Styela clava: one gene and its partner. Each later gene encodes a partner of the first gene's protein in a complex. Links are inferred from orthologs where the notes say so. Each region holds a gene or a part of one and is shown in the gene's direction. Other genes may lie near its edges.

Region 1 (7,098 bases):
TTTTTTACGTCGTCCAGCTAAATGGTTCGTTGCATATGGAGAAAACGCATTGCTCGCTGCCAAAATCCCTTGCTTCAGCCGAGTCGGGTGCGAAATTGGCCGTATTGAGGTCTTTAATTCTTCAATACATATTTGGTTTTGGGTTTCGAAGTATGGTACGCTGAGAGCATACAACTATGAGCATATGCTTATTGGGAATGCATATCTATTAGACAGAAAACGTATCTACAGAACAGAATATGAACCAGTCGCCGAGAGGAGTGCGGTTATTTATGTATTTATTAATTGATATAACATGGGATTTACATATTTATGCAAGGGGAGAAGAAAGCCGAAAAGAAGGCCTAAATATATGGCCAACCACGGCCTCTCTCAATCATAGCTCTGTGCTCCATATGAATCACATGGCTCTGCGAGCTATTCGTTTACTTATTAAAAATACTGATTTTAACTATAAATTACTCTGGGATATCTTGCCATTGAAAACAAAAGCCAGAAATTGGAAGAATAGCAGGGAATGAAATGTGTGTATTATGTAATGGAGAACCTGAGTTTGTTTCACATATTTTCATGTATTGTAAATTTACAAAAAAATTAAATGTTTATGATATGTATTTTATATTTACTAATTTTATTTTTATTGTTTTATATCAATGCATTTATTAAAATAACCTAATTATGGTATGGATTACTACTGGAATTGAACAAAATAAATACTGGATCATGGATGCAAAATGGAATATGAACCCATTTATATTATATAAATTATTTTATATTTACCGTAATTAAAATCACTCATTGAGTGAACGAATGAGCATACTGTAATGCTTATTGGGAATACATACCATCTATTAGGCAGAAAACTTATCTACAGAACAGAATATGAACCAGCCAAGTGGGGACCTGGGATATTGTATTCATTGATATAGATAGAGATAGTTTATTTTGAAAAGTCCACAATCTGACAATACAAACAAATAAAAAATGGAGAGTTCTGGAGAGCGAGCAAAACCTTTAAAAAAGTTTAAAACACGATGAGTATCATGTGCCCGCTGTGTTATAGCAAGTAGTAATGTGTAATGAATTTAATTCACTGTGGTAAATGAATTGCTATCTTTTTATTTGTTATGAGCACACTTGCTGGAACTCCATAATCTATTATTTTATTTTTTAGTAACACTTTTTATAAAAATATCAAATTGTTTATCATACTTGCATCCATATTTCGCCCTAAATTCCATTCTATGACACTTTCTCTGTATCCAAATATCTATGTACATGACCACATTATTTATTTTTAGTAATACTTCATTTAAAAGTATCATAATGTTTATTATACTTGCTATTCTAGTATTTTATCAGTTTTTTGCCTTAAATTTCATTCTATGATACTTGCTCTGTATCCAAATATCTATATGTATATGAGCACTTTATTTATTTTTTAGTACCGGTAATACTTATTTAAAAATATCCTATTGGGTATCATTGCTATTTCAGTATATTATCAATATTTCGCCTTAAAATTCATTCTATGTTACGTGCTCTGTAGCCGAATATAGATATGTACATGAGCACTTTATTTCATATATATATATATCTGCTGGACAAGGGTCAAACCCTGATCATGTATTATTGTGTGTTACTATCCTCCAAATCACTTGTCAGTCATAATCAAGTATTATAATTTAATGTGTTCAAATTATAGTGTATAAAGAAATCTACTCATGATTTCGTTACTATTATCAAATGTTTATAATTAAAGTGCTATAATAATACAATTTTCGCCATCTTTGCTTATAAAAAATCCATGTCCTATTACATTCATTTTTAGTAGACAAATTTTCCAAATAATAGGTATCCTCGCTAACCCATTTTTATGCAGTTGATATGCAATACATGTCAACTTATCAGCTGAATAAATGATTATCTTAGGACAAAACATGATTATTTAGTACTTTCCAAATCAAAAATTCTTGTGAATAATGTATATATATAGCGAATACGGTATATGAGAGGTATTGAAGAATTAACATCGAACCTGTTAAATGACCCGAAATGTTGTAACGTTGTCTCCCAGTCAAACACCTGAGCATCTTTTTTTTTATTATAATTTATATGTGTTCATGGTTTGACGAACGAAATAAACTCTCTCTCTCTATTGGTTTAAAATACTGACTTCTGGACTTGGCTAATTTTATACATATCAAAACTTGTAAATATTTGCATATCAAAACTTGTCATTTATTTCGTTCCATCCATGTATTTTCCACATGTTTTTCCAATAAAACATACCTACGCCTTACTACTGTTATTTGTAGCTTATTTTTGAGGTGGGGCGCAAGATTTCACAAATTCTAAAAAGGGGGTGCGGCTTGAAAAGTTTGTATGTAGTAGACCCTAACCTGGTACACATGGTTCCCGTGTCTACCAACTGGGTTTACATACTTCAAGAGTACCTTTTTGTATTACAGTTGTGAAACAGAAAAAGCTGAATGTCGGTCTTATTCCATCTGTAAATTTACCAAAAACTCCACAAAGAATGAACAATGTGTATTATCGACGAAATGAAAAGTGACATATAAAAAATACAGAAGCTGTAGAAAATATTTTGCATTACAGAAAAATTAGTTCACATATTAAATATTTTTTACATTACAAAAAAAATGGTGCTCCAGAAGTATGTGTACCAATATGAAGGTAACTAATTTTGTTCGCCTTCTTTATATCAAGTTGTGTAAATGAACTAAAGTCTATCGGTAGGGGAATATTCACTTGTGTAACACAGACAATTCCCGAACTTTTAATAGAACAAAAATAAGGAGAATCGTAACCTAACCTGGTACACATACTACGAAAGTACCGAAAAAACAGCCCACATAGTAAAAGCAGTTATGCAAATACTTTACATTACAGAAAAATTAATTCACATAGTAAATAGCAGACGAAGGAAATATTTTGGATTGCAGAAGAAAATAGCTCACATAGTTAATAGCAGTCATGAAATATCTCTCACTATTGATTACAAAAGTATAATTGCATCCAAATCAACAGTATCTATACGACTATATAAAGGATCGTTAAAATTAAATAATATGCAAGAATCATATTGATAACAAAATGTATTCTAATCAATTTTAATATATCTAAAACAAAATCTTCATAAATATTTTTTGTAAATTTACAATACATGAAATTTGTGAAACAAACTCAGGTTCTCCATTACATAATACACACATTTCATTCCCTGCTTTTCTTCCAATTTCTGGCTTTTGTTTTCAATGGCAAGATATCCCAGAGTAATTTATAGTTAAAATCAGTATTTTTAATAAGTGAACGAATAGCTCGCACAGCCATGTGATTCATATGGAGGACAGAGCTATGATTGACAGAGGCCGTGGTTCGCCATATATTTAGACCTTTTTTTCGGCTTTCCTCTCCCCTTGGATAAATATGTAAATCCCATGTTATATCAATTAATAAATACATAAATAACCGCACTCCTCTCGGCGACTGGTTCATATTCTGTTCTGTAGATACGTTTTCTGTCTAATAGATATGCATTCCCAATAAGCATATGCTCATAGTTGTATGCTTCCAGCGTACCATACTTCGAAACCCAAAATCAAATATGTATTGAAGAATTAAAGACCTCAAGTCAAGTTAATACGGCCAAATTCGCACCCGACTCGGCTGAAGCAAGGGATGTTGGCAGCGAGCAACGCGTTTTCTTAATATGCAACGAACCATTTAGCTGGACGACGTAAAAATGCAGGGAAAAATGCCATAATGAGCAAATCTTTGCAAGTTTCCACTCATTGTATATATGCTCATTGGGTGGGGTAAATGTAGTTTTTATTCAGCAACTAAGAAAGTTCTTTGCGACACACATCTTACTACCAAAATGCTATGAAAAATTTCTGTCAAGTGTCCCACTGTACCCCATTTCAGCATTTGTGGGGCACATTCGGACAGATTCTTGGGCACAATGGGTCCGTCTGTCAAAATTCAACGAAGTATGCCTTTAAAAATAAGCAATTAATCAGCATAATCGCCTAAAGACCGCACGAACCGTGTCGTTAGATTATCCGGATATCGGTTACCCAGTTTCCAGCTGCTTTTCACAACTAACGGCCCAGTTAGGGAAAACCAAAGTGAATATAACCAGTTCTTTTGTGGAATAGTCACTTCTGTACAATTACTGTAACCAAAATTGGAAATACACATAAATACTATTAATTCACTTTCATCTGGACAAAATTTTTATAAATAATTGAATTTCATATTGGCACTGGAATTCTATTTGGCAAAAAAAAAAAAAAACTTCGGGGAAAAACACCAAAGAGCTTCGGATTTTGAAAATCTTAGCCGTCCCGAACGGTGTCTTTTTCATAACTTAACAATTACCTGGTTGTATCTGTAAACTACTGACAGTCTCAGACTGAGTCTGTTAAATATATATCATGGCTGAGCATATCATATGTGTGACTGCAACTGGAGGACTACCACTCTTCACAAGATCAAAGCAAGGTGAGATCCCTTTTTTCAATCCCCGATAGGCTAGCTAAGCAATACCGGTACCCTATGGTAAAGCACGGTACCGTACCGGTACAAGTACAAAAGTACCCAGATTAAAAGATCTGTGGTTTCTTGTATATCAAGTCGGGTGTAACTAAGATATCCATATCAAGACAGACAAATATATGCTGTCAGGTTGTAAATTTTACCAATATGCCAATTGTACAAGAGGCAGTGGTTCGCCATGCGGTATGCTGATATGGTTTTTGCTCTTCCACAGGATAAATTGATCATACTCTAATACAGTAATATAAAACTAACTCTGACGGCCGTGTTGCTCACCCAGTCGATACTGATAAATTTTGTGTATGTCAGTATGTTGTAAAGTTTTATTGTTAAAATGCTTGTTTCACCGGTTTAGGAAACAATAAATCCTACTATCTCCTTAAACCAAATTTCATTCATCAGTAACTATAATATCGAATTTATATTCTCTAGGTTCTCCACCATTATCATTTCCTGTGATGGCATCCCTGAATGGGGTTCACCTATTCGCCCAAAATCGTGATGTTACTCTTGTTAGTACGTTGACCACAGATCATAAGATTGTATGGAAAATGTATCAAGGTATGAAAATTAAGGGTTTGAGCAAATATCAAAAAGTAAGTTTATTTCGACCCTATAAATACTTCTCTAAGGCCAAAGTCTACAGTACGGCACAGTTCTGCGATTCAAAGCATATCCCCCACATTGAAAGATATCAATAATAACAGTTTATGCTAACCCCTCTTTTACGAGACAGTATGGCCCTCGTTTCAGCATAAACCGACAAACCGGATTTGCGCAATAAACTAAAAAGAAGCGCAATCTAAAAATAGTCATCATCAACGTAATCTAGAATATTATCAAGACAAACATAACACAATCTGACACATCTTTTGTTGTATCAGACGCCCTCAATTCAGAAAATAATACAGTGCTTGTTTTATTAAGCCAAATGTCGGAACATCTTGGAATTAGAGAACTGTGCCTTACTGGTCCAAGTGCAGCATGTTTTCGCTGGGCCATACAGACGTTCAGAATCTAAATTCTTATTGCCTGGAAACGAAATTTTGTACAGAAACTCATAAAACATCAATTTACTTCTTAAGCATTCTTAAAATTGATAATTTAAATCAATCACGAATCGATTCGGACATCCCTGTTATGACATTCATAGGATAGGATATTTATCCTGAAGGAGTAAAATAAATAAGACAGCTTAATAATTTGGTGAATCACAACCTCTCATCCAGTTACCAGTCCATGGTGGGTATGGGATTAGTTAGCTATTTATTTCTTTGAAATGCATGGACTTTATGGAAGAAGAAGCCGTAACTGACTAGCAGTTATATTGACCCCCTTAAATTGCGACAGGTCCAGCAATTCCCCCGCACACAATTATCCTTCACAGGGTTCAAACCTTGGAACTTATGCAGTGTGATCAACTGTGCGATAGTTAAGCGTGGTCCTAATAATGGGTTTAGTGTGCCAACTGCTGGGCCAAAATTGTATTTCAGAATTGCATTTTTATTTTTCAGATAGCATAGTTCTCATAGCATTGGTGCCAAATCAGAAGTCGAAGAAAGATACAGATAGAATAGACAAGAAGAAGGAATCGTCCGAAATAAGAGAGGCTACAATTTCTGATGCTCATTTACTGAGGATCTTAGATAACGTGTTCCATTCACTGGTTTTGCTAACAGGTAAAATTATTTGGTAGCAGTATGTGGCCCTTTTGTTTTAAATGAACCACCGGATTTTTGTTCCAAGATAATTTGATGGAAGTTGGGTGACATTGCCTTTATTCTTCATGTTTACAAAATTCAAATTCATGCATAAAATACAAATAAAAGATCACAAAACTGAGGACTACTTGAAAGCAGCAATTTTTTTTGTGTAAGCGTTCGTGAGTTTTCCCTGATAACTTGGTGCTGCAAGAACAAAAAGTTTGGGAACCGCTGGCCTAGTTGATAAATCTCTAAATTTAATCCGATGCCCGCTTGCACACCCAGGGCAATGCCACTGGCTGCTTGTATGGTCTTGTTTAGAGCAAAAGTCACTCATAAGCAGTGTTCCCTCTAAGGTGTGCGCGTGTGCGCGCGCACACAGCTTTCAGGGGCTGCGCACACGCATAGATTTACTGCGCACAGACGTATTTCGATGTAATGTAACAATGTTCTCGGTTGGCAGGTTGAGAAAGTTTGTTGTTGGCCCACCCATTACCCGGTTAGAACGCCAAAATTTCTCCATTGGTTTTTGCACAAATATTAGTCATTTCCAAAAAAGTGCGCACACACCAAAATTTCTGCGCACACATACTACGAAAAATTAGAGGGAACATTGCTCATAAGCGTTTTATAAAAATGTAAATCTCATACACTCACCAAGTAGCGAGGGAAACACATGTTTGTCCAAAATTATAGACTATACTAAAATGCCAGGTTTTATTGAAACTACTAAGATTTAGAGGGATGCATTATGCGTCATCAGGTTCTTCATATATCTGAGCACTATTGTCAGTTTTCCGATGTCTTATGCGTC
Region 2 (7,645 bases), on another chromosome or scaffold:
TTTCAGAGAAAAATTAGAGATGGGTTTCCATGATAAGAATGTGGTATATCGTGAACGTAGATGAAAAAATAATATGTAGAAACTTCGACCTCGTCTAATATTCGGCATTATTGATATTTTCGTCGCCAACCGATCGTTAGTTATCGTTTAGCCCGCTGTGGGATTGCAACGATTTGCTATGATGATATCTACTTTTAATAAATTCAGAGCGAAGTTCAATACTGTCAGCGTCCAATCCACTGGGGAGTTCGGCTTTTGTCCCTCGTCGGTGAGGATTCATCGAAAAATGTCTGATTCATCGCGTTAATACCAGCAAGAACTGTAATTTGAGATTTCCACAAATGTTTAGCACGCTACGGTATGTTAGGCACCGAATATGTTCGCTAGTGTTTTCTACCGGTATATTCTGGGCCTGGTATGGTTTCATGATCCGTTGTAAGGACATTAAGTAATAAATTATTCATTCTACTTGCACGGTCGTCTTGGCAGTATGACGGAGCATCGACGAGATGACAGAAGCCAGTCTGCGAAACATGCTATTAAGCATCTGTTAAGAACCCTAATGCACACAGGCTTTTTTAAATGAGATTACTTTTTTTACCACTCGAATTGTTGCCAGCATATTGTCGAAAATCCAACAACTTCCCCGAGAAATAAAATAGGTATATGGAAAGAAACTTTTTTACAAACGCCTTGGTAGAAAGACGCATATAGTTGAGATATACAAATGCAAGATTTAAAATCGGAACCAAGTACTATGATACAGTGAATAATAACGCTGCTATAAAATCAACTAGCAGATAAAATTGCCAGAGGTAAAAATTGAACTTTGTGAGTGATGAATGTCAGATTACGCTCTTTATACCGCGGAACTGTGACAATTCATCGCCTATCCAATACCGCACACCAATGTCAGTCTGAATGGAACGCAGCCCCGCGTCTCATCTTTAGGTGATATATATTTATACGATTCCTCGTAGGTTAGGGGGCGCATTTGGATAATGGTTGTTAATAACAACCCAGGTCCATTAAAGTCTCATCTATAAAAAAAAAATTTTCCTAAAAAACTTGACTTATACCTCGACTTACCATATATCTGGAGCAAAAAAAGGGACGGTGCGGATTGGACAAGCCGCAGGTCTACCGCGGAAAAACATGCTAAAACCCGGACTATCCCGGGACGTATGGTAAGCCTACTTGTACCCCATCTTAGAATCTCTCTCTCAATCCCAAGAATCTCCCTCTCAATCCCAAGAACAGCCAAGTTTCAACAAAAACAATCAGTACATATATTTGGAAATTTTCCACAACATGCAAAAAACACTGGTTGATTGTATTATTTTCGACATTTTTCAAGAATATAGCTCATGTTAAACTTTGTATAAATTGATGAATCTCATTATCACCAGCCCTTAGTGGAATAAATTTTATACATTGATAACAACGATTTAGAAGTTGAGAATGTAAAATTCAACAACTTTTGTTACCTAGAGCAAAAAATGTGATATTCGAGAAAATCAAAATTAATTGAGAGATCGACCAGGCATTAAGCCAACTTGAATATTCCTGCTGGTGGTATAAATACATACAAAAACAGTGATAGACTATGAAATGTACAAGATGATGGCATATGCTATGTAAAAAATATAACACTGGTTTCTGATAAATAATAATAAAGAAAGAAGCTAATGAATAATTCATATCTTTTTAATGTGTGCAATCGCAGTCAGAGCACATCTGGCATAAATAAATTTGATGGAAGGAAATAGTTATACTACCAAACAATGAGTTGACAGTTAAAGAAAAAAATACCAGACAAACAAAATGCTATATTGGGGTACCAATGAGAATTTCATTAGCGATTTTTTTTCAAATCACATGCTTATTGAAAAGTATACTAGAAATTTGAAGTATACACGAAAATTTGAATTTTAACCAGACTGCTCAAAAAGGTTAAATTTAACGGAAAGAAAATTTGCCAAATAAAATATTTTTATACCATATTTCACCAGTTATATAAACAAATAATAAAAAAAATACCCGTGCAGATAATATATTTCAGTGCAGACAAATGGAACATATTTTGGACACAATATTACAAAATTTTACAATGATTCCACCGATACAGAACAACAAAATTCAGACCAAAATGTTCTCTCAAATTCCTAATTTAAGATATGATTGAGCACAAAGTAGCAGCTTGGTATTTGCATTCACGATTTATAAAACAAAAGCTATTTTGTAATGATTGTTATAGGAAATGAAAGAAAAACTGTGCAATCGGATGTTGGAAGCAGTTATATAAAAAAGTTTTTCAGTGTGTTGAAAAAGTGCTCCATGTTAATATACAAAGTGGAAAATCCCAAAGCCTGCAACATACTGTACTTGTAACAGATTTCCTGTGTGTTTGATGGAACCAGAAACTAAATTTAAAAATGGCATACTGTACAGTGCTTACATTCTTTTTTTACTACCACGCTGATGAGTTCCTGATGCTGGACGCTGAAAATGAGATAATATGGTATGAGATACTAACATCTTCATGTCATGGTCAGAGGCTTCATCTCCAGATACCCATGGATGTTCCAAAACTTGAGATGCTGTTAATCTTATTTTGACATCATGTTGTAACATTTTGTTGATGAGGTCTTGTGCAGACTTTGAAACAAAATCCCAGTGAGGAGAAGGGAATTCATAATGTCCACATAGAATCGAATCAAATAGTTCTTCCTGCAGGTTTTTAACAGACTGAAAGGGAGGAAATCCACATAAAAGAATGTAAGTTATGACACCAGCAGCCCAAACATCAACTTGAACACCATATCCCTGCTGTAACACAATTTCGGGAGCGACATATGTTGGTGTTCCACAAACTGTGTATAACGGTCCATCTACCGTTGTCGCAAGACCAAAATCTCCTAGTTTCAATGCCTTACTGCTGTCTGAGTATTCGAAAAGCAAAAGATTTTCTGGTTTCACATCTCGATGAACTATATTGAGGTTGTGAAGATAAGCTAATGCACTACATAAATTATAAATCATGCCACTTGCATCTCGTTCCGTGTAACAAGAACCTGATGTAATCGCATCAAAAAGGTCGCCACCTTCCGCTAGCTCCATTACCAAAAAAATTTCAGTTTCTGTAACAAAATCTTGCAATACTCTGACAATATTTGGATGCTCAATTTTCTTCAAGATGGAAACTTCATTCTCGATTTTGTGGCCCGGTTCCGTACCTTTTGTTTTATCTATGATCTTCATGGCATATCTTATACCACTGGTGCGGTGAATGCATTCCTTCACTGTTGCAAAATTTCCATCACCCAGCATTGATCTAACTTTATATTGTCGAACAAGGTCTCGAGGCCAAGCTATGATGGGATCTTCATCCTTTTCAGCATCCGCTAGAGATCTTGTCAAGTCATTAGTGGGGTTTAAAGTCACATTTCCTTCTCGCTGATCTTGACTCTGCCGCATCCTTGATTTGGGTTTCTGAGGAGGTTGCGTTCTTGCGCTGGATTTCACCCGAAAACTTCTTCTGGGAGCTTGTGGTGTTGAGATAGGTTTCGTGAAGCCTTGTTCGGAATTATTGATTTCAAAATCATCATGAGTTAACTTTTCATATCCACAAGCAATAAAAACTTCATCATCTTCAAAAAAATCACTCAACTGGGTGACTTCCTTACCATGAAGTGTATAAATTTTTCTGACAGCACCTGTGTCAAGCTTTATAGCCGAGGTTATTTCATTCGCGACCTGTTCAAGGCTATGGGCTGTCTTTTTATTGAGCAGTATTCTGATAGCTTTTCTTGGTTTCACACCATTTCTTATAACTGTAATCAATTTTGGTCGAATAAAATCACGATTTAATCTGAAGGAGGATCTTCGCTCCTCTGACAATCGATTGTGATCATTGAAAGATTGTCTACCATCAGGTAATCTTGACATTGATCTAGACTTCAATTCGGAGTTTTGCGACCAGTTCGGACAAGCATTCCGCAGATAATCTAGTCTTTTGCAGGTTTCAGATGAAGAGCAGACATAGCTTTGTCCATTCACTAGCTCATCTAAACTGGTAATTCTTCGCCAATCGCCAATAGTAAAAATGGAGCGGACACCAAATGGAAGATTAACATTATCTTTGAGTGCACGAGTTAAATCAGTTAAAAGGGCATCAAAAGAACGGAATCGTGAACTTGAAATAGCATATGTGATACCTTGATGAAAACGGTCACCACTGCGATAAAATTGTACTCGCTTTGCTTTCTTTTCTTGTGATAAGTGTTGGAGGGTTCTTGTGCGATAAAAACTTGAATGAGCACTGTGAGCAGGACTACGTGTCCCTCTCATCAATCGAGACTTCTCAGATGCAAAATGTTCTGCAATAGAGCGCTGCATGACGCCATTCACCATGCTATTTGTCCTTCAAATGAAGTTAAAGAATACAACCAAAACACATAGCATACAAATAAGCTAAAAGATAATTTCAGAAGTTATAATTCTTTTTTAGTAGTCTGACCAAAACAGATTCGCAATTTAAATAGACTAGATTTCACAAAATTTCTCATGCTGTACCGACGGTAAAGACTATTGAGGTTTCCTGTATATAGACTAGATCTGTAGATCACCATTGGGACAAGTCTGCGAGTACTACAGTACTAGCCTATCATCAGCACGCAAAACAATCTGACAATGTAAAAACTACAGAATCATATTTTCCTCTCCTATTTCTAGACTACCCCTTTTGCCTCAAGATCAATTTCCTAAAAATTTTGAGACATCGTTTTGTCACAAAATTGAATTGATTACTTGAAGAGCCGCATCTTATGACAGAATTACCGCATTCAATGATTCATACCATCATACAGTCATGTCATACCGGTAGTCCTCTACTTGTGTACTGCCAAACGCAGTCAATGACGCTGTTACTTTTCAAATAAACACTTGAAAATGAAATCATCAATCTGTAAATACTCATCACATTCAACATTTCATTAGAACTAAGCCCAGTCTGACAATCCTGCCCAAACAACGCCCAGCGACACATAACAACAAACAAAATCACAAGTCGACGAGAGAGAACTTTCGCTCGCGACGAACAAAACCAAATGGTACGACAGACTGCACCGTCGATCCGAGAAGAAATTTCAAACGAAGAGAAAAAAGAATTAAGTTACGATTCACAAGGATAAAATCTATTACTATGCTCTGATCATCCATAGCCCAAATTTATTTCATTTGGTCGCTGTTTTACTCGATTCGATAGTAATTACTTTGTTCCAGTGCATCTTGGTGTGAAATAACAGATGTGCCTTCGCGTTGATATTTGACACTTCATTGAGAAGACAAATTCAAACTGTGTGGTCATTATGGTAAACGAATCTTTACGAGATATTATTGATGTGGAATGGCATCGAACTGAATTCGCAAATGAATTTTTCAAGTCCCTTTTACACAGGTACGAATACTGTTTTAAATTGGAATGAATTTGTTGGATTGAATAGCCAAATATATAGTTCGGCTTGGGGGAAATTTAGAAGTATTAAGATTGACAATTTAAGTGTATTAATAGACAGATCAGCAGCAGAAATGCAGTTATACTTGTTGGGGTACATGTCGCACATCTGTGTCTTAGGCCAGAAAGGTCTTGAACATGTATCCCGTCTCTTTTATACCGTTTAGCTTTTATGCAGATACTGTTACATTTTTGAGGGAAATAAACATATATCTGTATATACAGCTAGACTACTTCATTGTAATTTACTGGGTACATCTCTCCCTCATGCCAGCATACCTTACAGATAGATGTAATTCTAAGGCTTCCTGCAGGGTCCACAACATAAGAATATCGTTTGTTCTCTACTACCTCATTCTTCTCAAATTCTATTTTAGCAAAATCTGCTTATTATTTGAACAGGGTTTTGTGATTGTGTTATTGTTTCTGGTCTATGGCTTCAACTAACATATATTTGCCTGTGAATATGTTCTGTGTAATTTTTTAGGGGCCAACGCAGGCAGTTTGGACTTCTTGAAAGGCCTTCACTGCCACCTAGCAAGTGAGTGCATAATTATTATAGAAATATATGGAACAATCACTACAGACTGGCAAACCCTGCTCTTTAGACACAATTAATTTTTTCGTCATTATGCTGATATTATAATGAATTCTGTGATATATTTGCGTGCAAAATACTAAGGATTTATGGAACAATAGCCCAAGACGAGTATGAATCAAGAGGAACCTTCGTTTCTGATGAAATCTAACTAAGAACATAGCTAATTTTATTTCACTTGTCTCTTTCTCTTGTTTTCCATTCAATATATGTTAATATGTATAAATACTCCTTTCATGTTATATTTTGTAGTATTCAATTGAACCTATCTGGCATCTGCAGATTTTGTTTTATCAAATCTATTTTGATATTTAATCTTGTGTTTCAATAACTTTCAGAGAAACTACTATTGTCGAATACAAGATATTCCTTTGTGGAAGATCAGGGGTTGGGAAGACTGCAACAGTGGCAAAGTTAGCAGGCAACAAAATACCAAATGTTTTCAGTGAAACTGCAGGTATGCATGTTTATTTATCCAATATAACAACATCTCTATAATTGATAAACTTTAAAATAGAGTAACTATATAAAGCATATATGTGATCAATTTTGTACCAACATTGATTTATTTAGTATAGAGTCTTATACGTATTCCTTTTATGTCACATTGGTTTTCTAGAAATTGTTGAATGATCAATGAATATTCATGCAAAGCCATGGCCTAATTTAAAACATATTCTTCGACATGTTTTATTTTTAATCTTAGGTATCGAAACAACTTCTATTTATTGGCCAGTGCAAGTGAAAGCGACAAATAAAGTTGTCTTCTTTCGTCTTAATATATGGGATGTTGGAGATAATGCAATAAGAAAGTTTGAACACATTTTACCAGTTAGTAACAAACGTTTATTAAATACTTGAAACTAAACTAATTTTTCTCAAATAATTTAGAGATTTAATGTTAAATAAAATACTATAAATCCTTTACATTGTTTTTCAACTTGACGACTTTGACACATTTAGCCTTGTGTTTCATTCCGTTGTTTCCTGTGAATGATCTATGAATTCACAAATAAGCCCTGAGTAATAGCAATATTTTTTGATATGTTTTTGCAAAACTTGATAGAACAAATTTATAAACGAGAATATCGGTCGGAGACCGAAGACCAATCGATCGAAAGTTAGGGGATTCCCCAAAACAGAAACTGCGGTTTCGATTCATCCGCTCCTACTCCATGGCGACAGCGTGTGTCCCATCACTAATGAAATAATAACTCGCTAATTATATGGCATAATTCATCCAAAATCAATAAGCTTCTGGTCCGAGATATGATAAATGCACATGCAAAATTAGGAGCAGATTCAACCTTGCTTTCGTGAGATATCGTGTGTATCTAACAGACAAACAGACTTACCGATCTTAAAATCGATAAGTATTTATGGAAGTTGAATCTTTACTCTCAATGCTGTGTAGGTTTCATTTTCTATGTTTAATGAGTAGAAACTCTCAATTTTTATTTCAGGCATGCCAGTCAAATGCTGATTGCTATATTTACACATTTTCGTTTATCGATAGATCAAGCTTTGAAGAT

The links.
Region 2: the proteins of protein fuzzy homolog (region 1) and ciliogenesis and planar polarity effector 2-like are in contact, whole or in part, in a cryo-EM structure (PDB 7Q3E), measured with the Mus musculus proteins. The link is inferred for Styela clava from reciprocal best matches to the Homo sapiens genes FUZ and CPLANE2. Residues at the interface, in NP_081652.2 of Mus musculus: Arg26, Arg35, Ile109, Val110, Lys126, Glu127, Arg129, Ala130, Tyr132, Cys133, Asp136, Gln215, Ala216, Ala217, Arg218, Asp219, Tyr220, Pro221, Tyr223, Pro232, Leu238, Thr239, Leu240, Leu241, Arg242, Pro255, Leu256, Gly257, Gln258, Pro261; in NP_001074643.1 of Mus musculus: Glu36, Gly38, Leu39, Leu40, Glu41, Arg42, Val83, His84, His85, Glu86, Thr88, Gly89, Ile90, Gln91, Thr92, Thr93, Val94, Lys124, Phe125, Met128, Glu134.

Annotation. Positions count from the first base shown.
Region 1 is NC_135257.1:20,600,575-20,607,672, forward strand, and holds the start of protein fuzzy homolog, read left to right. Parts: upstream 1-4,080; 5' UTR 4,081-4,460; coding exon 4,461-4,527; intron 4,528-5,013; coding exon 5,014-5,142; intron 5,143-6,095; coding exon 6,096-6,260; intron 6,261-7,098. UniProt on the Homo sapiens protein: Probable planar cell polarity effector involved in cilium biogenesis. May regulate protein and membrane transport to the cilium.
Region 2 is NC_135251.1:18,566,760-18,574,404, forward strand, and holds the start of ciliogenesis and planar polarity effector 2-like, read left to right. Parts: upstream 1-4,639; 5' UTR 4,640-5,369; coding exon 5,370-5,458; intron 5,459-6,002; coding exon 6,003-6,056; intron 6,057-6,451; coding exon 6,452-6,570; intron 6,571-6,819; coding exon 6,820-6,944; intron 6,945-7,576; coding exon 7,577-7,645. Other genes in the region: serine/threonine-protein kinase DCLK1-like, read right to left, coding at 2,455-4,413. UniProt on the Homo sapiens protein: Required for efficient primary cilia initiation, regulating a late step in cilia initiation. Plays a role in the final maturation of the mother centriole and ciliary vesicle that allows extension of the ciliary axoneme.